Macaca mulatta: one gene and its partner. The protein of the gene in region 2 purifies or fractionates together with the protein of the main gene of each other region. This does not show direct contact. Links are inferred from orthologs where the notes say so. Each region holds a gene or a part of one and is shown on either strand. Other genes may lie near its edges.

Region 1 (14,691 bases), on a different chromosome or scaffold from region 2:
ACTCAGTCACCTCTGTAGATTACAATCCCACAGGCACAAATAAGACAAACAGTTAAATGTATTTTTAAAGAAACTAAGAAGGGCAAAAATAGTCTTTTACATTTACCTATGTATTTTCCATGTCAGGTCATCACATCTCTTCAGTTTAAAGAACTTCCTTTACCTCTCTCTTTTTTTTCTTTTCTTTTTTTTTGAGAAAAGGTCTGGTTCTATCGCCCAGGCTGGAGTGCAGTGGCATGATCTTGGCTCACTGCAGCCTCCGCCTCCTGGACTCAAACCATCCTCCTACCTCAGCATCCCGAGTAGCTGGGACTACAGGGCGCACCACCATGCCCAGCTAATTTTTGTATTTCCTGTAGAGACGAGGTTTTGCCACTGCCCCAGCTGGTCTTGAATTTGTGAGTTCAGGTAACATGCCCACCTTGGCCTCCCAAAGTGCTGGGATTACAGGTGCAAGCCACCATGCCACGTCTTTAGTTTCTATTTACCTAAAAATGTCTTCATTTTGACTTTCATTGTTGAGTATTACCTTTAGATACACAATTCTGGTTTGAGTGCTTTAAAGATATCATTCAATGCTCTGGCCTCCATTATTTCTAGTATGAACACCATAGTAATTTGTATCACTGTTCTTCTGTAGGTAATACATCCTTTTCCTTGGGCTACTTTCAAGATTTTTCTCTTCACCTTTTTTCTTCAGTATTAATAGTCTGATGTACCTGGATATGATCTTAATAACATTTATCATGCTTAAGAGTTGTGGAGCTTCTTCAATTTGTAAATTTGTGTTTTTCTCCAACAAATAAGGGAAACTGTTAGCCATTATTTCTTCAAATCCATTTTCTGTTCTCTCTCCTCTTTCATTTCATATACATACATACATATATATATATATATATTTTTTTTTTTTTTTTCTTTTTTTTTTGAGACAAGAGTCTCACTCTGTTGCCCAAGCGGGAGTGCAATGGCGCAATCTCAGCTCACTGCAACCTCCGCCTCCCAGGTTCAAGCGATTCTCCTGCCTCACACTCCCAGGTAGCTGGGATTACAGGTGCATGCCACCACACCCGGCTAATTTTTTTACTTTTGATAGAGATGGGTTTTTGCCATGTCGGCCAGGCTGGTCTTGAACTCTTGATCTCAAGTGATCCACCCGCCTTGGCCTCCCAAAGTACTGTGCTGGGATTACAGGCATGAGCCACCGTGCCTGGCCTTAGAATTTATATTTAGTCATGCACTGCATAATGATATTTTGTTGAACACTGAACTGCATATACAATGGTGGTTCCATAAGACTATAATGGAGTTGCAAAATTCCTATTGCCTAGTGATGTAGCGCATTTAGTTTTTATCAATTTAGTGTTACTTAAGTGTACAGTGTTTCTAAAGTCTACAGTAGTGTAATGTCCTAGGCCTTCACACCTGCTCATCATTTACTCACTAACTCACCCAGAGCAACTTTCAGTCCTGCAAACTCCATTCACGGTATGTGCCCTATATAGGTATACTATTTTTTTATCTTTTCTACTGTATTTTTACTGTACCCTTTGTGTATTCTGTGTTTAGATACACAAATACCTTTGTGTCAACTGCCAACAGTATTCAATACAGTAACAGGCTGTACAGGTTTGTAGCTTAGGAGCAATAGGCTATACCATATAGCCTAGGTGTGTAGTAGGCTACACATCTAGGTTTAAGTAGACTCTATGAAGCTTGCACAACAAAATTGCCTAATGATACGTTATCTCAGAATGTATTCGTGTCATTAAGTGACACTTGGCTGTGGTTCTTTGTGGAAGTTTCTATTTTCTCTGAGATTTCACTTTGTACATTCTTTTTTTTTTTTGAGACAGAGTCTCACTCTGTTGCCCAGGCTGGAGTGCAGTGGCGCGATCTCGGCTCACTGTAAGCTCTGCCTCCCGGGTTCCTGCCATTCTCCAAGTAGCCGGGACTACAGGCGCCCGCCACCACGCCTGGCTAATTTTTTGTATTTTTAGTAGAGACGGGGTTTCACCGTGTTAGCCAGGATGGTCTTGATCTCCTGACCTCGTGATCCGCCCGCCTCGGCCTCCCACAGTGCTGGGATTACAGGCGTGAGTCACCGTGCCCGGCCTTGTTCATTCTTTACAAGCATATTTCCTTAATGTGCTTGAGCAGTTTATAATGTCTGCCTTAAAATCCATGTCTAGTAGTCCCAACCCCTGGATCATCTCTGGGTCAGTCTCCATTGGTTGCTTTTCTCTTCTGTATGAGTCATATTTTCCTATTTATTTGTATAGTTAGCAATTTTGCATTGTATCCTGGACCTGTGGCAAAGACTCTGGATTCCTGTATGTTCCTCTTCAGAATAGATTTTGGCTGGGGGTGGTGGCTCATGCCTGTAATCTCAGCACTTTGGGAGGTCAAGGCGGGTAGAACACAAGGTCAGGAGATCAAGACCATCCTGGCCAACATGGTAAAACCCCATCTCTACCAAAAACAAAAAAATTAACTGCGCATGCTGGTGCGTGCCTGTAGTCCCAGCAACTCCGGAGGCTAAGGCAGGAGAATCACTTGAACCAGGGAGTCGGAGGTTGCGGTGAGCTGAGATCGCACCACCGCACTCTAGTCTGGCGACACAGCGGGACTCCATCCCCTACCCTTCTCCCCCCTCAAAAAAAAAGATTACAGATTTTTTGTTTTAGCAGGCAGTCAGCATCTGAACTCAAAACTATACGCTCTGTCTCCCCAGATGGTAAGCAACTGAAATCTGTTCAGATTTTTTCCTTATTAGGCTACTTGGAGTTCACCCTGTGTTTCAGTAGTTCGGGGATAAACCAGAGATTTGGGAAGAATTTATACACAGACTTAGGGGCTCTCCCCTTGTGCCTGCCTCCTTTCTCTAACCCTCACCACTACCACCACCAGTTTCCATCTACTATGGTTGTCAAGAACTCTCGCCTCCAGTTCTAAAGCCAATAAGACCATAAGTTTTCCGCCAGAACCTTAAATGCCCAGCTTGAAGCTGTCTTCAACATGTACTTAGGTAAAAAAAAAAAAAAAGGTGTAAAACAGAAAACATATCCTTTTTTTTTTTTTTTTTTTTTTTTTTTTGTTGAGACGGAGTCTCGCTCTGTCACCCAGGCCGGATCTCAGCTCACTGCAAGTTCCGCCTCCCGGGTTTACGCCATTCTCCTGCCTCAGTCTCCCGAGTAGCTGGGACTACAGGTGCCCGCCACCGTGCCCGGCTAGTTTTTTTGTATTTTTAGTAGAGATGGGGTTTCACCATGTTAGCCAGGATGGTCTCGATCTCCTGACCTTGTGATCCGCCCGTCTCAGCCTCCCAAAGTGCTGGGATTACAGGCTTGACCCACCATGCCCGGCCAACATATCCTTTCTTGTAAGTGTCGACTCACCTTCAAATTTTCAAGTTTGGCCTGCTTTTGGCTGCTTCTCATTGTCTTTAGGTAGTTATTTTTCATACTTGTTCAGGGTTTATGGCATTTACGTCGAAAGGCTTATCTAGCAGGACCTAATTCTCTAGTAAAATGAATTATCTCTACAGGCTGTTTTGCACTTTGCTCTTTTCCTCATCCTATCGTAGAGATCTTCCATATCAGAATACAGAATATTCAGATCTCATTCTGCATAAAATTGCATTGCATGCATTTGTACTGATTTATTTAACCAGTCCCCATTTTGGTCATTTCCTGGTTTTAGTTAATGCCATACAAACAAATGCTATGGAAATAGCTTTACATGTATCTACTGTATGTAAGCAAGTATGCCATTCCATATTTTTTCTGATTGCAACTAAAAACATATTTGATTCCTCCTTTTGTATATATTTCATACAATAGAAAAAGAAGGCTGAGCACAGTGGCTCACACCTGTAATCCCAGTACTTTGTGAGGCCAAGGCAGGAGGATCACTTGAGCCCAGTTCAAGACTAGCCTGGGCAACATAGTGAGACCCCATCTCTACAAAGAAAGTTAGCTGGGCAGGGTGGCACATGCATATAGTTCCAGCTACTTGGGAGGACTGCTTGAGGAACACTTGAACAGAGTTCAAGGCTGCAGCGACCTATGATCACACTACTACACTGCAGCCTGGGTGACAGAGCAAGATCCCAACTCTTAAAAAAAAAAAAAAAAAAAAAACCGAAGTACAAGATTAGACACTATTTTACGTACTACTAGGACAGTGATGTGAAGACTTACGTAAGTTTAACAAATAGTCTCAAAGTAGTTTAATAATTTTGGGTGGGGCTATAGCTAAGTCACAGCAAAACATTTAAAACAATCCATGTGCTAAGTAGCAGTCACTACCTAAGGCATAAGATAACCTCAAAATTTATGTATCATCTAAGGCTATAATAATAATAAAAAAAAAGTCAGTATGTATAAAATTAATCACTTGCAGAAGTGAGAAAGTATCAGTAAACTAGACAGCTAAGGAGATTCAGAAGGATAAGTTGAATCAAGGTGACTGATATGCAGCCCTTCAGACATGATAGTAACTAATGACCTAAAACTAACACCTAACAAATTAAAGTAAGATGGCTGAAATTAAAACCTACTTAATGGTATTGTATACCATGTTTTAAAAAACAGTATTCACAAAGGTGATGATTTACATGGGGTCCAGAAAAGGAATCCAATAAGTAAAAAATGGATAGTCATTCAAAACTGTCTGAAAGATACCACAGGATTTGGTAGACACAAACATTCTAATTACCAGCAAGATATACAATGTTAGATTTCAGGTGTGTATATACACACATAGTATATTGCTTCTTCAAGGCTTATATAAAAGATTCGTAAAACCCATCTGCCCCATTTTCATGCTTACCCAAAGATCTCATTACTACTTTAGCTTTAAATCAAGAAAAAAGGCATCCAACATATTCAGATCTACCAATGTAAATGAACTAGTACTCTCTTTAAGTTTAGTTACCATGATTCAATTACCAAAATCCTGATAAACACTAGAAATAAAATTCAAGTTATTTGATCCATAAAATCCTAGGATGTACTAATTAAACTACTATTAACTTAAGAGATCTTGTTTAAATAGCTAATTGACATGGTTTTCTAACCACTTTGTATGTAAGAGGTTTAAGTATAAAAAGAGCTTTTTTTCCCTAAGCTGCCGCATGCAATTTACAAAAAATGTATTTTTAAACCATTTTAAATCTGAAATTTATATTACAGATATTTTTCTCACTTACCTTTTTCTTTGTCCACCCTAATGACAACCACACACTCATTCCTGCCAATTCGGATGAGTTTGTTGATAGAACGGATACGCCTTCTGGATAATTCACTAAGAAGAATCATGCCTTCAATGTTGTTGTATTCCAGCAAGCTGACATAAGCCCCCATTTCAGCAATGGATCTGACATTCACCATCACTACATCTTCCACCTCAGGAAATTTGTGTTGATAAAATCTACAACTTAGACCCGGCATTCTGCAATTTAAACAAAAGAATTAAATAAGTGTTCAGTTAAGATGAAAAAAAAAAAATCAATTTCCACATCTTGCCACTGAAAGAAAAGATGAAGAAAAAAATAGTTATTAGTCTTAGTCTTCTCATCCTTTGAAACTTAAGTGGTACCAGAAAACAGATAATGTTCAGGAACCAAGCTTTAATTTTTACTTTGCTCAACATTTTTGTAATGCTTGGGTGATTCTCTGCCATTAGTTTCAGAGGAATCATAAAAAATAATGACCATCTATAAAGTACTCCAAGACCTAAGGATTAAAGGAATACCTCAAGAGTAAAATACTACTTTAAGGCATATCAAATGATGGGAAGCATCACTATTATAACTAATCAGAAAACTAAAGCTACTCTTCGCTGAAGTTAGCAAACATTGTATATGCTACCACTCACTATATAAAGGAAAGATTTTCTACCTAAATCTTAACCAATATACCATATGATATATTGTCATTTATTATAGCCCAAATTAGCGTCACATGTCAAAGCAACAAAAACTAAAAAAATCTTAATCACAAAATAAACTAAAATTCATCCTCCTCCTCTCATAATTTTTTTTCCTTGAATTCACAATGTCTAGCTTCTCTTATCCCCAATACTCCCAAATATTCCTTTCTTTTATTGAATAGGTATACTTAATCTTGAGAATAGCTTTAATCTCCATTACTACAAAGTTAAAGTTTCTCTTAACCTCCAAGCATTAAAGATATTTACAATTATTCCCTTTGATCCACCCAACCTACTTTCAGCACTACTCCTTCTATGATCCACAAGCCTGAAATCATAATCTGGGTAGAAGCACATTTAAAAAGGAAGCTCTCAAACTAATCATGGCTGATGATTTCCATGTTTTTCTGTTAACCTTCACTGTTGTCACTGCTCAAAACTTAAGTAGTAACATAACTTAAAGGCCTAAGAAAACTTTGTGAAAATTAATTTAATAACTTATTAATTGGCACCTGCCTATATCTTCCCAGTGGCTTGCTACTGACTTATATATGTTTTCACTACCTACAGAATCCTATATGATCTGGTCACTGCCTATCTCCTTGTGGTACAACTTTCTCCCTAGTTCTCCCCATTTTCTAGATTAAAAAAGTGAAGCACAGGTTAAGTTACTTGTTCTTTCACATACTGCTAACAAGTGATGAGTCAGGATTTGAATCCAGGAAGTTTGGATCCAGAGTCTGTCCTCTTTTTTTTTTTTGAGACAGAGTCTGGCTCTGTCGCCCAGGCTGGAGTGCAGTGGCCTGATCTCAGCTCACTGAAAGCTCTGCCTCTCGAGTTTATGCCATTCTCTTGCCTCAGCCTCTGGAGTAGCTGGGACTACAGGCGCCCGCCACCACGCCCGGCTAGTTTTTTGTATTTTTAGCAGAGATGGGGTTTCGCCGTGTTAGCCAGGATGGTCTCGACCTCCTGACCTCGTGATCTGCCTGTCTCGGCCCCCCAAAGTGCTGGGATTACAGGCTTGAGCTACCGCACCCGGCCCAGAGTCTGTCCTCTTTATCAGTAAGACTATATTCTCTCAAAACTATTCATAAACATATTACAATTAGAAACATTTTACTTTAAAAGCAACATGAATATATATATATATATATATTCAGTGCTAGAGTATGTGACACCAATAAGTGCAAACTATTAGTACTCATTGGTTTAACAACAAAAAGCAGCATATTAATGACAGTAGCAGAGATGTATTTCTTTGTAGGGAATACAAAATCCCTACAAAATAGGGATTTAGCAAACAAAGATAAGTAGACATTCAATGGCCAGAACTACCCACCAAGAAACAGCTGACTGGTTGTTTCATTTTTAAACAGGGCTTTTCAGGGGTGGGGGTGGGGGTGGTGGGGAAACTGTTGTTGAATATGTGCATGTAAAGTTCTCAAATTTGAGAGCTAAAAAGTTTCAAATTGGGCATCAAAATAAACTATGTTACAGAAATGTACGGAACAGTTTTAAGACATTTAACAGGTGAAAACCATATTTACTTACCAAGTTTCTCCAAATAGTAAAGGTGACGCTTTTAGGGGAAGCAAGGCTTAATCTGATGGTTAAAAAACACGGGCAATCGTGTAAAAGAATCCTGAAGGGATATGACTATGAATACTATTTCTTCAGGAGGCACAAGTCTCTTTGCAACATAAAGGGTAAGTAAAGGAATACTGTTGATGGTTAAGTTATTCATAGCAAAGACAGGAAGTTAAGTACAAAAAGAATCCATACCACAAAAACCTGCATATTGGTTGATAAACTTTCAACATACTGCCTAATGAAATGCTAATAACTTATTATTTTTTTTTTACTTAAAAAAACATTTGGCAATATCGAAGTCACACTAGGTGACTTCATCTCTTTATCTTTTTCACAGCATTCTGACTTATTTTATTTGGTCCTCAAGAAGTGTCAACAAGACTCTTACCAGGCCAGGCGCGGTGGCTCACACCTGTAATCCCAGCACTTTGGGAGGCTGAGGTGGGTGGATCACCTGAGGCCAGGAGTTTGAGGCCAGCCTGGTCAACATGGTGAAACCCCATTTCTACTAAAAATACAAAAATTAGCTGGGTGTGGTGGTAGGCACCTGTAATCCCACTACTATGGTGGCTGAGGCAGGAGAATCCCTTGAACCCAGGGGCAGAGGCTACAGTGAGCTGAGATCGTGCCACTACACTCCAGCCTGGGCAACAGAGGCTCTGTCTCAAAAAAAAAAAAAAAAAAAAAAAAAAGACTCTTACCTAAGTTAAGTATAGAGTGGGAAACAAACTAGCAAGCAAATGATTACAATATGAAGTACTATGAAAGGAGCACAGTGAAGCAATGAACAGAAAAAGGAGGAACAGAAATACTAAATTATAATACTTTCTTAAGATAATCGACATCAAATCCAGAATGTCTTTAACCCACAGAACCTCAATATCACAACACATTATAATACTCTTATGTGTTCTGATGTAAAAGTATCAGCCACCTTTCAAAATATATCAACCAAACTCCGGGCTAATTTCAAATACCCTGGCTAGTCAGTTATTTTGCAGGACAAATGGTAGGTAGAACTTCTTTCTCAAAACAGTGCATGGTCAAACTGCTATAATGGATATAGAAGTTCACATTCCTTTCCAAAATACATGTGATGGGGACAACTCTCGTGATAATTCTAATTTGGATCTAACACGTATTAGGAATGCTCTCTGAATGGTAGTTCTTGGTATAGGAGTGCTACATAAGTAAAGCTTTTATTTCATCATTATAGTTGAAAAAGAAAGTTATCACCAAATCTCTATAAACATTACTGTGCATGAGACAACTACATCTTTTGGCACCAGATGAACTGAGAATAGGTAGTAAAGTTCGGTATAAGTCATCCCCAAACTACTGACCCAGAGATTTTTCCTTGAATAACAACTCAATTGAGAGAAAATATACACTTCTCTGCTATACTTTTTCTCGAAAAAACCATGTCTTTTGCTTAATAAAAATTTTAAAAGCCTAAATTTTGTGGATAAAGAGACCCAGGGATGACTGTGTATTTAACCCGAAAATATTTCCTTATCTTAGGTTTTCTGTTATGCTTAGCATAGTTAACCTAACATATGCTTAACACAGTTCTATTCTCATTGTCGCCAACATAAAACAAACTGATAGTAACAGTAATAAACTCAAGTCTCATTTAGTTTTGATTCAAAGGGTGACTCATTCAATTATCAGATGAAAAACTACTCGGACCCCGCTCTTTCCAACACGGTGCCCGTCCCACACGTTTCTCAGGTAAGAGTCCAGTTTGGTTTCCACTGAGAAGCAGGGGGAAATTTCGGTAGAACTGTTGGGGCGGAAGAAAAGATGGAATTCTCAGACCTGGAAAAAGCAAACTGCTCAGCGTCCTGAGCTGGGGGTAAGAGTTAGGGTGTCACGACGTTCTCCCGAGGCCGCCCCATCGTCAAGGCATTCTCACTTTCGGCATATTGTAGAGGCTGTACAATCCACTCGGCCCACTTTCCTTTACGAGATTCCTCTGCTGGAACAACGACGCCTCTGGAACACAGGATGACCTACACGGAGCCGGCGACGAGGCCCACGACAGCGCGGGTGGCGGCGGTGCTGTCCAGCCACTTCCCGCGCAGGGACGGGAAAGGGAGGTGTTAGCCCGGGGCCTACCCGCTCTCGAACACCCATGTCACTGGACACAAACCAAAGTGAGTTCTTGGAGAAACCGAGCTTGGGATTAGTCACCTGAGGTATGTGTGTGATTCCCGCAGTGGAGACCACAGCCGCCTTCTTTAATCAGAGAGACCAGACTTGCTTCTCCCTCACCGGCCGCCGATCCTCCTCAGCGTGCGCTTCGGTCACCCGACTGCGCATGCGGAACCTCCTCGTATTGCGCAAGCGTTGAACGAATAGAGACCCCTCTTCATCATTAACCATAGAGTCTGGGTCCTCCGAGAACAAGGACGAATGTAGATCATGGAAGGACCCGAAAAGTACGGTTTCTCGCTATCTTAGCTTTAGCTAAGTAACATTCAAGGCGCGAGAAAGACATAGGACTCTGATTCCTTGCCCCTGAAGAATGTATCCTCGTTCACAGTTTCAGCTAACCATGAGATGGCGCTGTGACCAGAGACGACAGGTGGAGAGAAACAAGGCGTGCACGCTTCGCTCCTAGTCTTTGGCCTGGCACGTGCCGCGTATTGCGCAGCCTCAGGGAAGCTGGATGGGGAGGGGTTGGGAGGCGAACCGGAATTGAGGGATGGTTCCGCGGTGCGCGCGCCTAGACATCCGGGCAACGCCTCTGTTCTGTCCTCCCCCTTCCTCCTCTTGACAACCGGAAGCGGAAGTGAAAATGGGTGTCCCTGCTGCTTCTTAGCAACGAGAGGGGGTCAAGTGACACAACCAGCTGACTCCTGTAGAGGAAGTCACTGTGGAGGCCAGTTCTGGAGCTGTTGTAGCCTCGGTTGCCCGGCCGGGGACCCGAGCCGAACAGTTATCGTCAGAATGTCGGGCAAAGACCGAATTGAAATCTTTCCCTCGAGAATGTAAGTAAAGGAATGGGATGAGCCGCTTTCACAGGGTTAGGAACCCAGAGCGCGATCCCTTCAGACCCTGGGCCACAGTGAGGGTCCTTGTTTCTTGAGCTTTTCCCAGGCTCTTTTCTTGAGTCTAGGGCGAAGCTTCGTGACGGCCTCTTCGCACATTCCTCCTGAGTGAATCAGGCTGGATGAAGCGATCCCAGCGGGTAGGAAAAGGCGCCCGGCCGGCGGGCTTTTGTGGAGGCCCGCTGTCTTTATTCATTAATGGATTCATCCATTCCACATACCCTTACTGAGCCGGGCACTGGATTTATATAACTGAACCGTCGCCACCTCTGCCCTCACAGAGCTCACAGTTTATGTAGCCAGACATTCGTCTGGAAAGGCCAAGGAGGTTTTAATAAATGCTCTGAGAAGGGACGTTTACTGAGGATATAGAAGAGGTCCCTAAGCCAAAGTGGGGATGGAATCGAATCGCCTTAGCATAGTCCTCGGATTCGATCTTGGATCCCCTTACTCATTTTCCAAGATCCCACCAAATGTCACCGGCTGTGAGAGGATATCCCTGTGTTTCTGAGGCACAGCTTTTGCTCTCTCACCGCTGCACCTTGTTAAGACCTGTGTTAATACCAGTCATCACATTGTAAAGTAGATATTTGTTTATGTGTCTTTCTCTCCCACTAGACTGTGGGCTCTCTCCAGGAGGAAAGAATGTCTTAACAATCCATAGAAGGTCCACAAAAAAATATTTCTTGAAAGAACTCATGCTTGGGAATACGCTCAGTTGTGGGCTACCTTTCTTTTGGGGCCTGAATTCTTTGTCAGGAAAGTGGCATATCACTGTAGGTTTTTGGCTAGTTTGTAAAGAAAATTTTGACGTTTTCTCAAATGTGCCCAACAACTCGCTCCCTTTCTCCTCCTCATCCTGTTTATTTTTATTTATTTAGTTTGTTGTTTGTTTTAATAAGAGACAGGGTCTCGCTCTGTCTCCCAGGCTGAAGTGCAGTGGTGTGATCATAGCTCACTGCAGCCTCAAACTCCTGGGCTCAAGCGATCCTCCCGCCTCAGCCTCCCTGGCGGCTGGGATTATAGGTGGGAGCCACCGCGCCTGGCTTTCCCTTTTTCTTTACAGTGAGGAAGCAGAAAATCAGTTTTAACCCTGACATTTAGATCCTTTTATTGTGGTCCTATCTCTGTGGGGGTGTTTTGTTGTTTTTCCTCTTTCTGTCCTTTCTCTGAGAGAATCTGAGGACGCTTAAAATAAAAGTCACATTCAAACCTGAAGCCCAGATTTGTCTCTGCCAGGGTGACTACATAGCTCTTAATGAAATGAAGTTTTTAAATTTTTTACCTTCACCTATTGACTTTCTAATAGCTGTTCGCACTAAGTAGGCAGCAAGCTAGTTGTGGGGAAATAAAGATGGGGACTATCCCGGGTTAGTGGCAACTGCAGAACTCCTAGCACGTGATGACTCAGTCAAAACTTACGCACTGAGAGACACCGACGCTAGTTTATCTTCTAGCAGCGTAAAACCTGCCCCAAGGGTGACCCCAGCCCCCCCCCATTAAAATGCCTGCCTGAAAAAGCTCAAAGCTAGGAGGAGAATTTACTGTTTGTTCTAGTCAACACCTAATTGACCTGTCCTTCCTTTTTTAGAGCATTTACGAAAAACAGGCTTACAATTGTGAATATGTTATCTCTTCCAACTCTGGTGTCCCTTCAAGTATCTTAGAGAGCCATTTCTTTGAAATGTAATCATCAGGAGGGATAGGGCCTTTGTCTCCCAGTCTGTGTGGGAGGATAGAACAATAACTTACTAATTGCCAGGTAGCATTGCGTTTACACTGACCAACCCTTTAAGTTTCTCTTCTCTGACTCTACTTGTGGCTGGCTTCCTGCCACTCCCTTACTTTCTTTTTAAAATGGACAGTCACTCTGCACAAACCAGAATTGAGCTCAGCTCTTTCCCCTGCTATCAGTGGTTTACTGAATAAAATCTGTTTTCATTGCTTTAACGAATGTCTGGCTGTGTTTATCTTTGACAGCAGTCAGAATAACTTTTTGTTTTTACTTTGGAACTTTTACTTTGAGACTAAGAGGCAAAAATAGACGTCTTTGGGCTTAGGTAAGAAAAATAATAGGCTCATGAAGGTGAAAACTACTATTTGAAAGCTCTCAGCTTGCTGATTGAGAGGAAAATCAGGTGCAGGAAATAATCTCTAAATATTTTCCCCATGGCTGGCAGCAGGCTTTTTGTCATGTAGTCAGATGTCTTTGATTCAGCTGGAAGAAAAGTCATCATCCTAGCTAAAGGTCAAACTGTTTGAGTAGGACTGAGCAGCTCTGAAACAAAGGAGCAAGTTTTAAAAGCCATAGGCTAGAAAACATTGGCAGCCTGTTTCACAGACAGTTCCTTTCAACAACAGTATTATTCTGTGATGTTACTTTCACCCACTTTGGTACCACAGAAAGCAAAACAATTTTAGAGTGGAAGTAGAAGACGCATGAAAAATTTGGAGTCAACAGAAGTCCATTAAATCCAGGTTCTGCTACATATTAGCTGTCAGTGTGCAAGCTGCCCTTAGAGTTTCAGGAATTAAAATTGCCCATTTCACAGAGATACCATTCCCTAGGAGGAAATTAAAATTAACATGGTAAATTCAATTTTATCAACCAGTTTACCTTTTACTATAAACTGACTGCTATATGCAGTACTACAATTTGACTTAAATTTGATCCAGCTCTTTGAGCCCGAGTTCTAGTATTTACTGTCAACAATACAGTATGTTAAATGCACACATTGGGCTGGATAGCTCCTGCTCAGGCTGGAAACTAAACCAGCTTCACTTGATAAGATCTCTTGTGAGGCCAGTCAGTGCAGAGTGAGCCAGTGATAATTGTTGTCTTTAAGGGGAGGCACACGGTTGGGGTACAGTGAACCTAGGTTGGAGCCTTAGTTTGAGCATTGGGAAAGTCAGTGGAATCAAAAGTCTGGTTCAGGTTCCTGCCCTGCCTTTTCTTCACTAAGTAACTTTGAGAAAGTTGTTTTACTTTTCTAAGCCTCATTTTTCTAATCTTTAAGTTAATGTCTAAAGTCCCTTTCAGCTATAGAATTGTCTTAGTGATCTTAGCCCTATGGTAAAAGATTCCAGTATAATCTAAGAATTTGGCCAAATGGGGTGTGTGTGTGTGTGTGTGTGTGTGTGTGTGTGTGTGTTGTTGTTGTTGTTTTGAGACAGGATTTCACTCTGTCACCCAGGCTGGAGTGCAGTGACTTGATCTTGGCTTGCTGCAACCTCTGCCTGCCGGGTTCAAGTGATTTTTGTGCCTCAGACTCCCAAGTAGCCGGGACCACAGGGATGCGGCACCATACCCGGCTAATTTTTGTATTTGTTTGGTAGAGATGGGGTTTCACTGTGTTGGCCAGGCTGGTCTCAAACTCCTGACCTCAAGTTATCCACCTGCCTCGGCCTCCCAAAGTGTTGGTATTATAGGTGTGAGCCACTGCACCTGGTTTATTAGTACATGCGATTTTAAAACACCAGTCGTATGAAAATATATCCCCTTAAATCACTTTGTCTAGGTTAGGTTATACTGTGTCTAGGTTATACAATCTGTTGTTGAATTTTATTACCCAAACACTTGTTTTTTTGAGACCGAGTCTTGCTCTGTTGTCCAGGCTACAGTGCAGTGGCATGATCAGAGCTCACTGCAGCCTAGACCTTCTGGGCTCAATCAGTCCTCTCACCTCAGTCTTCTTTGTATCTGGGACTACAGGTGTGCCCTACCATGCCCAGGTAATTTTGGTATTTTTTTTTTGTAGAGACAGGTTTCACCATGTTGCCCAGGCTGGCCTTGAACTCCTGGACTCAAGCAATCTACCCACCTCAGCCTCCCAAAGTGCTGATTACAGGCATAAGCCACTGTACCGCTTACCTTATTTAGAGCATTCTTCCTAAGGTCCTCCAGGTACTTTTCATTAGCTCTTTTTCCTGCCTGAAATATTCTTTCCCCAGAACTTATAAATTGCTCCTTTGGCTATTCTAGTCTCTTAAGAGAGGCTGTTCCTGATCACCCAATCTAAAGTGAACACCATGTTTGCTTCTCTCACAATTCCTTATTTTAATTTTATTGTAGCATGTGCTACTGCATGGCATGACATTTTTTTTCTTTTCTTTCTTT
Region 2 (14,857 bases):
TCTAGCCTGGGCAAGAGAATGTGACTCTATCTCAAAAAAATAAAATAAAATAAAATAAAGGCCGGGTGCGGTGGCTCACGCCTGTAATCCCAGCACTTTGAGAGGCTGAGGCGGGCGGATCACGAGGTCAGGAGATTGAGACCATCTTGGCTAACACAGTGAAACCCCCTCTCTACTAAAAATACAAAAAAAATAGCTGGGCGTGGTGGCGGGCGTGTGTAGTCTCAGCTACTCGAGAAGCTGAGGCAGGAGAATGGCGTGAACCCGGGAGGCGGAGCTTGCAGTGAGCCGAGATCACGCCACTGCACTCCAGCCTGGGCGGCAGAGCGAGACTCCGTCTCAAAAAAAAAAAAAAAAAAGGAATTTTCACACTACATCGGAAGAATCAGGAGGAACTAGCTGAGCAAGAAGGCTCAGGGTTGGGATCCTCAGGCAGCAGGTAGCACTCATACAAAGGTTTTAAATTAGGTGGAATTAGGTTTGGTTGCCTTGGGGAAATGAAAAGATTATATGGCAGGAGTGGGGATCTCAAACTCCTGACCTCGAGTTAGGGACCAGCCTGACCAACATGGTGAAACTCCGTCTCTACTAAAAATACAAAAATTAGCCGTGCGTGGTGGTGGGCCCCATAATCCCAGCTGTTCAGGAGGCTGAGGCAGGAGAATCGCTGGAACCCGGGAGGCGGAGGTTGCAGTGAGCCAAGATCGCACCATTGCACTCCAGCCTGAGAGACAGAGCAAGACTCCCTCTCAAAACAAACACCTGATCTCAAGTGAGCCATCCACCTCAGCCCACCCAAAGTGCTGGGATTTCTAATTTAAATGATAATAACCCTTCCCAGAACTAAGCTGCTTTTGTGAAGCTAATGAAAGGCCATTAGGTTAGGAGGATGAGAGGAACCTGCGTTCTGTGAAGGTCTAGAGGAAGAGTAATACAAAAATTAGCCCTGCGTGGTAGCTCACACCTGTAATCCCAGGTACTAGGGAGGCTGAGGCAGAACTGCTTGAACCCAGAGGATTGCAGTGAGCTGAAATCACGCCACTGCACTCCAGCCTGGATGACACAGCGAGACTTGGTCTCAAAAAATAAATAAATAAATAAGAATAAAAATTAGAGGTAGAGGTGGGCATAGTGGCTCGTGCCTGTAATCCCAGCACTTTGGGAGACCAAGGCGGGTGGATCACGGGGTCAGGAGTCTCAAACTCCTGACCACCGACATGGTGAAACTCCTTCTCTACTAAAAATACAAAAATTAGCTGGGCGTGTTGGCTCACACCTGTAATCCCAACTACTCAGAAGGCTGAGGCAGGGCCGGGCGCGGTGGCGCAAGCCTGTAATCCCAGCTCTTTGGGAGGCCGAGACGGGCGGATCATGAGGTCAGGAGATCCAGACCATCCTGGCTAACAAGGTGAAACCCCGTCTCTACTAAAAAATACAAAAAAAACTAGCCGGGCGAGGTGGCGGGCGCCTGTAGTCCCAGCTACTCAGGAGGCTGAGACAGGAGAATGGCGTGAACCCAGGAGGCGGAGCTTGCAGTGAGCTGAGATGCGGCCACTGCACTCCAGCCTGGGCGACAGAGTGAGACTCCGTCTCAAAAAAAAAAAAAAAAAAAAAGAAGGCTGAGGCAGGAGAATCGCTTGAACCCGGGAAGCGGAGGTTGCTGGTGTGCCGAGATCTGCCATTGCACTCCAGCCTGGGTAACAAGAGTGAAACTCCGTCTAAAAAAAAAAAAAAAAAAAGCCGGAAGTGGTGGTGCACGCCTGTGGTCTCAGCTTCTTGAGAGACTGAGCCAGGAGAATTGTTTTTTGGTTTTTGGGTTTTTTTTTGGTGGGGGGAAGGGGACGGACTCTTGCTCACTGAAAGCTCCGCCTCCCGGGTTCACGCCATTCTCCTGCCTCAGCCTCCTGAGTAGCTGGTACTGCACTCGCCTACCACCATGCCGGGCTAATTTTTTTTTTTTTTTTTTTTTTTTGTATTTTTGGTAGAGATGGGGTTTCACTGTGTTAGCCAGGATAGTCTCGATCTTCTGACCTTGTGATCCACCCACTTCGGCCTCCGAAAGTGTTGGGATTACAGGTGTGAGCCACCGCACCCAGCCAGGAGAATTGTTTTAACCTGGGAGGTGGAGGTTGCAGTGAGCCACGATGTCGCCACGGCACCTCAGCCTGGGCAACAGAGTGAGACTCCATATCAAAAAAAAAAAAAACCAAAAAACAGTATATAGAATAATTACCCTATTATAGCATTTATTTCATGAGCATTGTTTTAAGTTTTAACTCCTTTGAGGCCTTACAATCCCAGAAGGTATGTACAATTGTTAGTCACCTTACAGATAAGGAAACTAGGTCTATGGACACAGGGCTTATCAGTGTGAAATCAGGCTGTGACAGCAATCATATAGGGTAGTTGCAGGAGATTAGAAAATTCCAGGCAGCAGTTTCACATGACCAGAATAGCAACAGCAAACTTGAAATAGCTACAGTAACTGTGGGTTGATAAGATTCCAAAAAACCAGGCTGTAGGCCAAGTAGACTAAGACCGACTAGACCTAATATGGTGCTGGGTCTGACCTCGGTTTCCCGTAGGACCTCATTGTATGTTCATTAACACAGTCACACACCCACCAACATCATGATAGTCCTAGGAACACCCATATTTGGTATAAAGATGGGTGGCACCTCAGTTCTAAGAAATCTCCATCTTTTTCCAGGAATGCTCATGAGTGTTTTACCCCTTGGTTAAAAAAATCCAAAAACGGCCAGCGTCATGGCTCATGCCTGTAATCCCAGCACTTTGGGAGGCCAAGGTGGGTGGATCATGAGGTCAGGAGTTCGAGACCAGCCTGATCAACATAGTGAAACCCTGTCTCTACTAAAAATACAAAAATTAGCCAGGCGTGGTGGCACGCGCCTGTAATCCCAGCTACTCAGGAAACTAAGACAGGAGAATCGCTTGAACCCAGGAGGCAGAGATTGCAGTGAGCCAAGATCGCACCACTGCACTCAGGGCTGGGCGACAGAGCAAGACTCCATCTCAAAAAAAAACAAAACAAAACTATAGGCTGGGCACGGTGGCTCATGCCTGTCATTCAGCATTTTGGGAGGCCAAGGCAGGTGGATCAGGAGGTCAGGAGTTTGAGACCAGCCTGGCCAACATAGTGAAACCATGTCTCTACTAAAAATACAAAAATTAGCCAGGCGTGGTGGCGCGCACCTGTAGTCCCAGCTACTCGGGAGGCTGTGGCAGGAGAATCACTGGAACCCGGGAGGCAGAGGTTGTGGTGAGCTGAGATCGCGCCATTGTACTTCAGCCTGGGCAACAGAGCGAGACTCAGTCTCAAAAAAAAAAAGAAAAAGAAAACTATAAAACCCACCAGCTGTTAGGTTCAAAAGCCTCAGGATGAGTGGAAGCAAATTTGAGGAAAAGCAGTTTATCCCCCAATGAAGTGCTTTGTTTTATGCTATTCTCTTCCCAGCTACCTCGGGGACCTGTGAAAACAGAATGCTGTCCGTTTCTGACACACACACAGACCCTGCTTGCTACAAATCAAAAGGCTTTATTCCTTATACAAACCCACACTTAGAAAAAATAGTTAATAAATTATAGGCAAACCAGTTGGTCTTAGCCACGCCTCCCAAAGAGGTCCAGGGGAGCCGTTGCTGCACCAGGAGAGGGGGAGGATGTGGCAACAGCTTGGCTCAAGGGCGTGGCCTGGACTGGGGACAAAGGGACAGAGGAGGAAGGCAAGGTCTGGGTGAGGGCAGGGATGGGGGCTAAAGGTGGGTTCCTGAGGCGTGCCCAGGCTCTGGCCCGGGCAGCAGGGGTGAGGCAGGGGCTCAGCTCCTCCTGGGCCAGGGCGATACGGCGTGCAAAGCGGCTCCGATCCCGAGCAAGCTGCTCCCAGGGGCCCTGGCGGGCGGCCTGGGCCGGCCCTGCCCAGACAGCCAGAAAATGGACAGTGACCTTCTCGGAGAAGTGCACCTGGGGGCAGACACCGGGACACAGGCAGGAGAGGGACACAGCCACGGGAATCCGGATGGGGAAGAGAGAGAGAGAAGCAAACAAAAATTAGTTATTACACAAAAATGCTTTCTATCTGGCTAGTCACTTGCCTGTCACTGTCATGGGATTTTCCATCTGACTCACTGAAGGCAGAGATGGTTTCCTGGGGTTGCTGTGAGCCACAGCTGCTCCCTCCTCCCCCAGGGGCCTGGCCTCTTACAAGAGATTGCGTGACAGTGTACACAGCCCTCCCCATAGAAATGACACGCAATCCTCTGCAACATACAGGGACCTGGAGTCTCAGCCTCCAGCCCCTTCCTCTCCCAGACTCAAGAATCTGGGCTCTCGGCCAGACGTGGTAGCTCATGCCTGTAATCCCAGCACTTGGGGAGGCTGAGATGGGCAGATCACGTGAGGTCAGGAGTTCAAGACCAGCCTGGCCAACATGGTGAAACCCCCATCTCTACTAAAAATACAAAAAAATTAGCTGGGTGTGGTGTCGTGTGCCTGTTATCCCAGATACTCCAGAGGCTGAGGCACGAGAATTGCTTGAACTCGGGCTGCAGAGGTTGGCAGTGAGCCAAGATCGCGCCACTGCACTCCAGCCTAGGTGACAGTGCAAGACTCAATTTTAAAAAAAAAAAAAAAAGGCCGGGCACGGCGGCTCATGCCTGTAATCCCAGCATTTTGGGAGGCCGAGGTGGGAGGATCATGAGGTCAGGAGATCGAGACCATCTTGGCTAACACGGTGAAACCCCTTCTCTACTAAAAATACAAAAATTAGCCGGGCAAGGTGGCGGGCGCCTGTAGTCCCAGCTACTCGGGAGGCTGAGGCATGAGAATGGCGTAAACCCGGGAGGCGGAGCTTGCAGTGAGCCGTGATGGCGCCACTGCACGCCAGCCTGGGCGACACAGCGAGACTCCGTCTCAAAAAAAAAGAATCTGGGCTCTCAGCACCCACCTTTCTGGCCTTTAGGGGAATCTTGGGGTCCAGATCATGGGTAGGGGTTTCTGGGCGCTTGAGCCGCCTCTGCAGTCGGAGGGGCAGTCTAGGAGGAGTCCAGGGAGGTGGTGGCTTCTCTCCAGGTACATAGATGGCCACTCGGAAGGGGCAGGGCTCAGCTTCTCCCCAGTCCTCAGCAGCTTCCTCTTCCTCTGTCTCCTTTCCAGGTCGGTATACCCAGCCCCTGAAGTGGGCACTCTGGGCCGGGTGGGAGGGATGTGGGTCTGACTCAGCTTCTCCCATGGCTGCTTCTGAATCATCTTCCTTACCCTCACTATCCGCATCCTCATCTTCCTCCTCCTCCGTGTCCTCTCCTGGCCGATACACCCAGGACTTCAAGAAAGCACTTGGAGGGGGTGTGGAAGTGGAAATTTCAGCTTCTCTTTCATCCTCAGCTGATCCTGTATCACTGTCCTCATCTTCCTCCTCCTCCGTGTCCTCTCCTGGCCGATACACCCAGGCCTTCAAGAAAGCACTTGCAGGGGGTGTGGAAGTGGAAATCTCAGCTTCTCTTTCATCCTCAGCTGATCCTGTATCACTGTCCTCATCTTCCTCCTCCTCCGTGTCCTCTCCTGGTCGATACACCCAGGACTTCAAGAAGACACCTGTAGCAGGAGTGGAAGAGGAAGCCTCAGCTTCTCCCTCTTCCTCATCTGATCCAGAGTCACTGTCCTCATCTTCCCCATCTTCCTCTTCCTCCGTGTCCTCTCCAGGCCAATACACCCAGGCCTTCAGGAAGGCACTTGAGGGGGGGATGCAGGGAGGACACTCAGCTTCTCCATCCTTCTCAGCTGCCCCCAAAATCTTGACCTCACCCTCCTCTTCATCACTGGGTTGGCACCACCAGGACTTGAGCTGGGGCCTTTGGGCTGGGGCTGAGGAGTGTGGCCCTGGGGCAGCTTCTCCTTTCCCAGCTTCTTCGTGTGCCTTTTCTTCCTTCTCCTCAGACGCCTCTCCTGAACGATACTCCCAGGCCCTGGGGTTGGAGCCTGAAGATGGGGGGGACACGGAGGTCTTCCTGGCTCCTTTACTTTTTTCTATTCTTCTTTCGTCCTCCGTGGCTTGATTCTCTTCCTCCCCTGGGCAAGACACCCAAGTGCTGGGCTTGGATCCTGGAGACAAGGCAGAAGTAGAGGTTCTGCGAGTTTCTTTCTTTACAGCTTCTTCATCGACCTCTTCCTCCACTGCTGGACAACACTCCCGGTGTGACAGAGGATAAGAGAACTTGTTAACTCCCTCCTCTTCAGCAACTCCCTCTTCCTCAGCTTTCTCCTCCCCTAGGTTCTTATCAGAACCTTGCAGCGTCCTTATCAGAAGGCTGGGAGACAGGGGAGCAGGCTGGCCATCTGCAAATTGACTTCCCTGCCCTCTAGGGACGCTGGTTGCTTCTCGCTCACTATATATGTCATCATAATCATCCAAAAGTCCCCAGGCTTCAGGAAGGGAACTGCTGGTTTTCAGGCCCAGTGTTTCTCTGTTCTCTCCAGGGCCTGCACGGTCTTCAGCCTCCTCATCAAGGCATCTGCCGCAAGGGATATGGGGGGTTGCCAGAGGAGTCCTGGCTTCTCCCTCCAGGCCAGCTTCTACCAGAGCTACTCCTTTTACTGCCTCCACAAGCCAGGGCTCTGGAGGTCCCAGGCCCCTCAGGCGGCTCCAGGCCCGGCTGAGGAGGCCCATCACTGGGGACAGGAGGAAGAAAGGGTGGGCATCCCTCCATGGGGTAGCCTGATGGGGTGCTTGGCCTGGGGCCATGTGTCTGGGCTGGAAAAGGGGGAGGAAAAAAATAAAGTTTAGGGGCCATTTAGGGGATGGCATCCGGGCATGACTATGAGTCATAGCAACAGAAATAGTAACACAACTATTGTCAACAGCAACGCAAGAGTCCCAAATTCCTTTCTGATCTCAGCCACGCCCATCTCTGCCTCTTGGCTCTGTTCTCTCTCATCTCTCAATAGCCAGGAGTCTGAGCCCCTAGTTCTTCCTTAGATCCAAGGGTCCAAGCCCCCAGCCCCCTCTTTCTTCAGACGCAGAAGTCCCAGTCCCAAGAACCAAGAACAAAAGTCTTTTGCTTGCTTCCCTTGGCGACAAAGTCATAGTCCCTCCCTAGCTCTCTCATCCTGCTGAAGATCAAACCCTCACACCCTCCTCCCTTGCAGACTCAAACATTCTGACCCGACCCCCCACTTGCTAGATGATTCCTTCACGGGGACCCAAGAATCTGGCTTCCAGATCCCTCCTCCCTCAGGCTCCGGACTCCAGGGTCCCAATCTCTTCTTCCTAAATCCAGGTCTCCAGCCCCGTGGGGACCCAGGCGTTCCGACCCCTTACTCACCGGTGGGGGGCTGCGCGTCACCCCGGGGGCAGGAGCGCCGGCTCGGTCTGCCAGAAGCGATCACAGGTCCTGACGATTAGGAAGGCCAGCGCGTTCATCTCACCCTCAGGCGTCGGGCTCCAGGGAACTCAGAGTATCTCCGGCTGCCTCAAGCGCAGTGGCGACAAGCGGGCGCGGGGTCCTGCGGCGTCTTGCATACGATCAACAACTTGGACAGGAACCAACACGATGAGCGCAAGCGTAGGCCACGACGCGTTTATATTCTACAGCGCCTGGCGTGCTGACGTCACGGGGAGAGGCGGGGTTTCGAGACCACAGCCCGAAGGGTGGGAAGTGAAAGACTGGACTTCTCGCGGAGATTCCAGCCTTTGTAACGTCTCGGCGGAGTTTCCGAGCGTGACCACGCCCCCCCAACCAGCAAACTGTCAATCAAATGCGTGGTCCTGCTTCAGCAGCGAGCCGGTTCTCTCTTAGCTGAGGGCCAATGCCTTCCCACCCAAATTTATTTATTTGTGTATTTATGTATTTATTTACTTATTTATTTATTTAGGTTCGTTAGTTATTTTGAGGCGAGTTTTGCTCTTGTTGCTCAGGCTGGAATGCAATGACGCTATCTCGGCTCACCGCAACTTCCGCCTCCGGGGTTCAATCTCCTGCCTCAGCATCCCGAGTAGCTGGGATTACAGGCAGGTGCCACCACGCACGGCTAATTTTGTATTTTTTGAGCAGAGATGTAGCTTCTCCATGTTGGTCAGGCTGGTCTGGAACTCCTGACCTCAGGGGATCTGCCCGCCTTGGCCTCCCAAAGTGCTGGGATTACAGGCGTGAGTCACCGCGTCCGACCTATTTATTTATTTATTTATTATTTATTTATGTATTTTTCTGAGACGGGATTTCACCATGTTTGCCAGGCTGGTCTCGAACTCCTTACCTCAGGTGTTCTGCCTGCCTCGGCCTCCCAAAGTGCTGGGATTACAGGCGTGAGTTACCGCCCCAGGCCTATGTATTTATTTATTTTATTATTATTATTATTTTGAGACGGAGTCTCGCTCTGTCACCCAGGCTGGAGTGCAGTGGCCCGATCTTGGCTCACTACAAGCTCTGCCTCCCGGGTTCATGGCATTCTCCTGCCTCAGCCTCCCGAGTAGCTGGGACTACAGGCCCCTGCTACCATGCCTGGCTAACTTTTTGTATTTTTAGTAGAAGCAGGTTTTCACCGTGTTAGCCAGGATGGTCTCAATCTCCTGACCTTGTGATCCGCCCGCCTCGGCCTCCCAAAGTGCTGGGATTACAGGCGTGAGCCACCTCGCCCGGCCTGTTATTTATTTATTTTTTTGAGACAGAGTCTCGCCCTGTCACTGAGGCTGGAATGCAATGGTGCGATCGGCTCACTGCAGCCTCCATCTCCTGGGTTCAAGCAATTCTCCCGCCTCAGCCTCTGAGTAGCTGGGATTACAGGCATGCACTACCACACCTGGCTAATTTTTTGTATACAGACAGGGTTTCGCCATGTTGCCCAGGCTGGTCTTGAACTCCTGAGCTCAGGCAATCTACCCACCTTGGCCTCCCAAAGTGTTGGGATTATAGGCGTGAGCCACTGCACCCGACCTATTTATTTATTTTTTGAGACAGAGTCTCACTTTGTTGCCCAGGCTGGAGTTCAGTGGCGCCATCTCGGCTCACTGCAGCCTCCACCTCCCGGGTTCCAGTGATTCTCCTGCCTCAGCCTCTGGAATAGCTGGGATTACAGGAGTGTGCCGCAATGCCCAGGTAATTTTTGTATTTTTAGTAGAGACAGTGTTTTGCCACGTTGACCAGGCTGGTCTTGAGCTCCTGACCTCAGGTGATCTGCCCGCCTTGGCTTCCCAAAGTGCTGGAATTACAAGCATGATCCACTGTACCTGGTCTCCTACCCCAATTTAGCCCAAAGGCCCAGCCTACAGCCCCCCATTTTCTTTCTTTCTTTCTTTCTTTCTTTCTTTCTTTCTTTCTTTCTTTCTTTCTTTCTTTCTTTCTTTCTCTTTCTTTCTTTCTTTTCTTTCTTTCTTTCTTTCTTTCTTTCTTTCCTTCCTTTCTTTCTTTTCTTTTTCTTTCTTTCTTTCTTTCTTTTTCTTTCTTTCTTTTTCTTTCTGTCTCTCTCTCTTTCTTTCCCCCCTCCTTCCCTCCTTCCTTCCTTCCTTTCTCTCTTTCTCTCTCTCTTTCTTTCTCTCTCTCTCTGTCTCTCTCTCTCTCTTTCTTTTTTTCGAGACGGTGTCTGGCTCTGTCACCCAGGCTGGAGTGCAATGGTGTGATCTTGGCTCATTGCAACCTCCACCTCCCAGGTTCAAGCAATTCTCCTGCCTCAGCCTCCCGAGTAGTTGGGAGTACAAGAGCTCGCCACCATGCACAGCTAGAGTCTCCTATTTTCACAAGCAGTTGGTTTCCTCCCTGAGTGTGAGGGTGTCATTGTTCCCATTTCACAAATGGGGAAACAGGCTTGAAAATGAAACCACTTGACTAAGATAGTCACAGCAGAGTCCAGATTCCTTGCAAATGAGAATGAAGATGTAAGCACTATGAGATCAGGCACTTTGCTAGGCTCAGTGCTTTTAAAAAAATAATAATTAATTTAGGCCAGGTGCGGTGGCTCACGCCTGTAATCCCAGCACTTTGGGAAGCTGAGGCGGGCAGATCACGAGGTCGAGATTGAGATCATCCTGGCCAGCATGGTGAAACCCTGTCTCTACTAAAAATAGAAAAATTAGGCCGGACGCAGTGGCTCATGCCTGTAATCCCAGCACTTTGGGAGGCTGAGGCAGGCGGATCACAGGGTCAGGAGATCGAGACCATCTTGGCTAACCCGGTGAAACTCTGTCTCTACCGAAAATGCAAAAAAAAAAAATTAGCCGGGCGTGGTGGCGGGCGCCTGTAGTCCCAGCTACTTGGGAGGCTGAGGCAGGAGAATGGTGTGAACCTGGGAGTTGGAGCTTGCAGTGAGCCGACATCTTTCCACTGCACTCCAGCCTGGGCAACAGAGCAAGACTCCGTCTCAAAAGGAAAAAAAAATGAGTTGGGCGTGGTCACACGTGCCTGTAGTCCCAGCTACTCAGGAGGCTGAGGCAGGAGAATCACTTGAACCCAGGTGGCGGAGGTTGTAGTGAGCCGAGATCGCGCCACTGCACTCCAGCCTGGCAACAGAGCTAGACTCTGTCTCAAAAAAAAAAAAAATATTCACTTTCTAAATAGAGACAGGGTCTCACTATGATGCCCAGGCTGGTCTTGAGCTCCTGGTCTCAAGTGATCCTCCTGCCTTGGTCTCCCAAAGTGCTGGGATTACAGGCATGAGCCATTGAGCCCGGCCAGGGTTCACTGCTTTCTTCTCAGTGACTGCAACAGACAGTGCCTGCACATAGTAGGTGCTCAACAGATGCATGGTGAATGGTGGTTAAACCAAAAGCTTGGATTCCTTCCTGGTCACAGGCAAAAGGCTCCACTCCTGGGTTTCATCTGCTTCAAGCTTAGGCAATAGCTCTGCCTCCACAAACCACAAGTCTGCCTGGGTGGCACTCTTCATGCGAGTGGGGGCGCTTCTGCTACAAGTTCCAGGCCCGGGGTGACAGTTCCAGCCCCCAGCTCTCCTCCCCTACCTATGGATGCATAATCTTGTTCCTCAAAATATACCAAGGAACCATGTCTCTCTCCTGAGGGAGTTGTCCTCAAGTCTAGAAGAGAATTCTCACCTGGATCTGAGGTGGAGGTTTGGAATTCTCCATTTCACCCTGCCCTACTGGGACCATCCCCTTTTCTCCCTAGGGGACCTGGACAGACTATCCCTGGCCCCTTCCAATCACAGTCATGTTTCCAGACTCCCAGCTCATTCACGACTCAGGAGTCCTGACTCCTAGCTCAGACCTTCTGGGGCACCCAGGTGTCTCGATCCCTAACCCATTCCCTGCAGGGCTTTGGAAGTCTGAGTCCCCACCCCTTGCAACACACAAACCTCCTCCGTGTAGGACACCAGTGGCCCCGGTCCCCAACCACAGCAGCAAACCCACGGGGGCTCTGGAGTGCAGGCCTCAGGTCCAACTCTCCAAACACTGAGAAGCCCCAACCTTGGTCCTTAAGGGACCTAGGAATTGGGGGACCCAAGCCCCTCCCCTCAGCTGTGGGGGCAGCTGAGCCAGGGGTCAGGCTGTAGTGGGGAGGCCAGAAGGGGCGGGGACAGCCGGGATTGGGAGGGGAGAACAGCAGCGTGGGCGGCTGGCAGAGGCAGGGAAAGACCAGCAGAGAGGAAAGAGAAACTGGGAGAGGGAGGAAGGGAGAAAGTGAGAAGGGAAATCGGAAAGAGAAAGGGGAGGAAACGGCAGACGTGGAGAGTCAGAGAGAGAGACAGAAAGAGGAAGAGACTGAGTGTGAAGGAGAGAGGACACGGGATGACAGAGAGAGAGAGAGAGAGAGAGAGAGAGCGCGTGAATGAGATAGAGACTTAAAGAAGAGACCCTGTGAGTCTGTCAATCAAAGATTTGGACAGAAACGGAAAGATTGGAGAGAGAGATAGAGGGAGAGAATGAGTGAGAGAGAAACTGGAAGAGACAGAGATCAGAGAGAGGAGAGACACAGAAAGTGAGACTGGGGAGGGAGATAGTGTAAAACGGAGAGAGAGAGAGAGAGAGAGAGAGAGAGAGAGAGAGAGAGAGACCATAAGAGACGGGAGACAGACAAAAAGTGAGCAGGTGAGGAGAGAGATTGAGAACTATGAGAGACAGCAGCTAAGAGACAAAGGAGGCGGGAGACTGCCTGGGTGCCGCTGCAGCACCCACACCGTCCTCTTGCCCCCTGTCTTTGGGACCCTAGAGCTGGGTAAGTTCCCTGGCTGGGCTGGGAGGGCCTCTCTGGGTGCACATTCCTGCTGCTGCGGGGCTTGGCTTGGGGAGTTGGCAGGGATGCTTTGGGGGCGCATGTGGGAGGGCGGGAGACAGGTAGCCTGGGGCAGCCGGAAGGAGGCAGGGAATAGGGGGTCCTTAAGCTCAGAGAGGGTCAAATTCCTGGCCTGAGTGCAGTGGGGTGGAATAAAGGATTCCCTATTCTCTGGCCTGGGCTGCAGACAGCTGCCCCCTCCCGCAGCTGCCAGGGCCGCCTACCTCTCTTGGCACCACTCTTGGTATGTGGTCACGGGCCATGGCCTCCCCCAGCCCCTCAGTCCCGAAACAACAGGCTCTTTCTCTGCAGCCTCCTCAGACCTCCGAGCCCCTGACCCCATCTCTGTCCCGCACCCGTCACTGCGGAGACACAGCCCCTTTCTTTCTCTCCCCAGCCCTTGATGGAGGGGAGCCGACCTCGAAGCAGCCTGAGCCTGGCCAGCAGCGCCTCTACCATCTCCTCACTCAGCAGCCTGAGCCCCAAGGTTTGAGCTTCCTGGCGGGGATGGGGAGGAAGGTGGGGCTCTGGGCCGCCCATCCCTCTGTTTCCCCAAGGACTCTGGTTGTTAAGGACAAGGATCCTTAGCAACAGGGTCTGCCAGACAGTAAGGTCCCAAATTGCCTACCAGCCGCAGCTAGGAATTCAGAGGCACTCCCAGCTCTGTCCCCACCCTTTGTATTTTCCTAATTCTAAACCAGAGTAACAACCTCCCTTGACCCTGGTTGCTAAGATAAAGCCGCTCCCCAGCCATGAGGCCCCTTGAGTTCTCAGAAGTAGCGGGCTGCTCTTGATTAGTGCTAGAACTTGCTGTCCTATCTCTTGCCATCCAGTCTATCCACTAATGAAATCCTATAAGGAAAGACCCTTCTCTGACGGTGAGACCCAAGGGGCCCCCGGATACTTGCATCCCAAATCGGCATCCCGGCCAAAAGCTTAGGGAGACACTCATTTCTTTTTCCTCCTGCCATTCCACACATGTCCTTTCATGTGTTCGGAGCCCGGAGATCTGACTCAGCCTTGGTCGGTACCACCGCTTCCCAGGAAGGGCATATTGTGGGGACCTGGCTAAGGATGCCTGAGATATCTGTGGGCATCGGGAGACGAGGCTCCATCCGGGCAGGATGGAGGGATTTAAGGCTTCCTCTCCTTGGACTTGGTTGCTAAGGGGTGTGACCGCAGGGCACCAGGGCATCCTTTGATTCACCGGGGACTCAGCGTGAGAGTTCCCCCTGATTATGGGGACCTCCCAGCCCATAGTCCCAGTTCACATCCCAAAAGCCCCTACTACAGCTCTAGCTCTGGTGGCCAAGGGCATCTGCTTCTTGGCAGTGGACCCTTGATCAAGAAATTGCTTCCCTACAGCCTCTTCCTTGCCTCTGAACACCTCCCTCCGCCCATCAAAAAGAGAGTCTCGGCCCGACACAGTGGCTCATGGCTGTAATCCCAGCACTTTAAGAGTCTGAGGCGGGTGGATCACCTGAGGTCAGGAGTTCGAGACCAGCCTGACCAACATGGCGAAACCCTGTCTCTAGTAAAAATACAAAAATTAGCCAGGCGTGGTGGCACGTGCCTGTAATCTCAGCTACTCGGGAGGCTGAGGCAGGAGAATCACTTGAACCTGAGAGGTGGAGGTTGCAGTGAGCCAAGATTGTACCATTGCACTCCATCCTGGCGACAGAGCGAGACTCTGCCTCAAAAGGAAAAAAAAAAAAAAAAAGAGTTTCTCCCAGTCCGGGCAACAAAGTGAGACCCCCTCCTCTACAAAAAGTCAAAAAATTAGCTGGGCATGGTGGTACGTGCCTGTGGTCCCAGCTATACGGGAGGCTGAGGCTGGAGGATCACCTGAGTCCAGGAGGTAATGGTTGCAGTGTTTAGGCCATTGCACTCCAAAGAGGCTGTCTCAAAAAAAAAAAAAAAAAAAAAAAAGAGTCTCTTAACTCTGCAATAAGAACACCTCCCAATTCTGATCTCCAACCTCAGCCCCCACCTTGACCCTTCTCTTTCTTTTTTTTTTTTTTTTTGAGATGGAGTCTCGCTCTGTCGCCCAGGCTGGAGTGCAGTGGTGCGATCTCCGCTCACTGCAAGCTCTGCCTCCCGGGTTCTCACCATTCTCCTGCCTCAGCCTCCCGAGTAGCTGGGGCTACAGGCGCCTGCCACCATGCCTGGCTAACTTTTTTGTATTTTTAGTAGAGACGGGGTTTCACCGTGTTAGCCAGGATGGTCTTGATCTGCTGACCTCATGATCTGCCCGTCTTGGCCTCCCAAAGTGTTGGGATTACACGCGTGAGCCAGTGTGCCCGGACTTACTTTTTTTTTTTTTTTTTATGACAGAGTCTTACTCTGTCACCAAGGCTGGAGTACAGTGGAACAATCTCAGCTCACTGCAACCTCTGCTTCCTGTGTTCAAGAGATTCTTGTGCCTCGGCCTCCCAAGTAGCCGGGACTATGAGCACACGCCACTGTGCCTGGCTAATTTTCATATTTTTAGTAGAAACGGGGTTTCACCATGTTGGCCAGGCTGGTCTCGAACTCCTGGCCTCATGTGATCCTCCCACCTCAGCCCCTCAAAATGCTGTGAGCCACTGCGCCCGGCTGGTCCTTGACCCATTTCTCAGGGCAGC

What was found.
Region 1: the proteins of PPP1R15A (region 2) and EIF2S1 purify together in Homo sapiens (affinity purification with western blotting; 4 studies listed by BioGRID and IntAct, with this or other methods). This does not show direct contact. The link is inferred for Macaca mulatta from reciprocal best matches to the Homo sapiens genes PPP1R15A and EIF2S1.

The regions. Positions count from the first base shown.
Region 1 is NC_133412.1:140,521,527-140,536,217, reverse strand, and holds the start of EIF2S1 (eukaryotic translation initiation factor 2 subunit 1), read right to left. Parts: upstream 9,810-14,691; 5' UTR 9,715-9,809; exon of another isoform or gene 8,499-9,714; intron 6,720-8,498; exon of another isoform or gene 5,452-6,719; 5' UTR 5,451-5,451; coding exon 5,210-5,450; intron 1-5,209. Other genes in the region: ATP6V1D (V-type proton ATPase subunit D), read left to right, coding at 10,474-10,514. UniProt on the Homo sapiens protein: Member of the eIF2 complex that functions in the early steps of protein synthesis by forming a ternary complex with GTP and initiator tRNA. This complex binds to a 40S ribosomal subunit, followed by mRNA binding to form a 43S pre-initiation complex (43S PIC).
Region 2 is NC_133424.1:61,322,955-61,337,811, reverse strand, and holds PPP1R15A (protein phosphatase 1 regulatory subunit 15A), read right to left. Parts: upstream 7,572-14,857; 5' UTR 7,338-7,571; intron 6,767-7,337; 5' UTR 6,758-6,766; coding exon 4,964-6,757; intron 3,982-4,963; coding exon 3,622-3,981; coding exon of another isoform or gene 3,593-3,621; 3' UTR 3,541-3,592; downstream 1-3,540. Other genes in the region: PLEKHA4 (pleckstrin homology domain-containing family A member 4), read left to right, coding at 12,637-12,720. UniProt on the Homo sapiens protein: Recruits the serine/threonine-protein phosphatase PPP1CA to prevents excessive phosphorylation of the translation initiation factor eIF-2A/EIF2S1, thereby reversing the shut-off of protein synthesis initiated by stress-inducible kinases and facilitating recovery of cells from stress.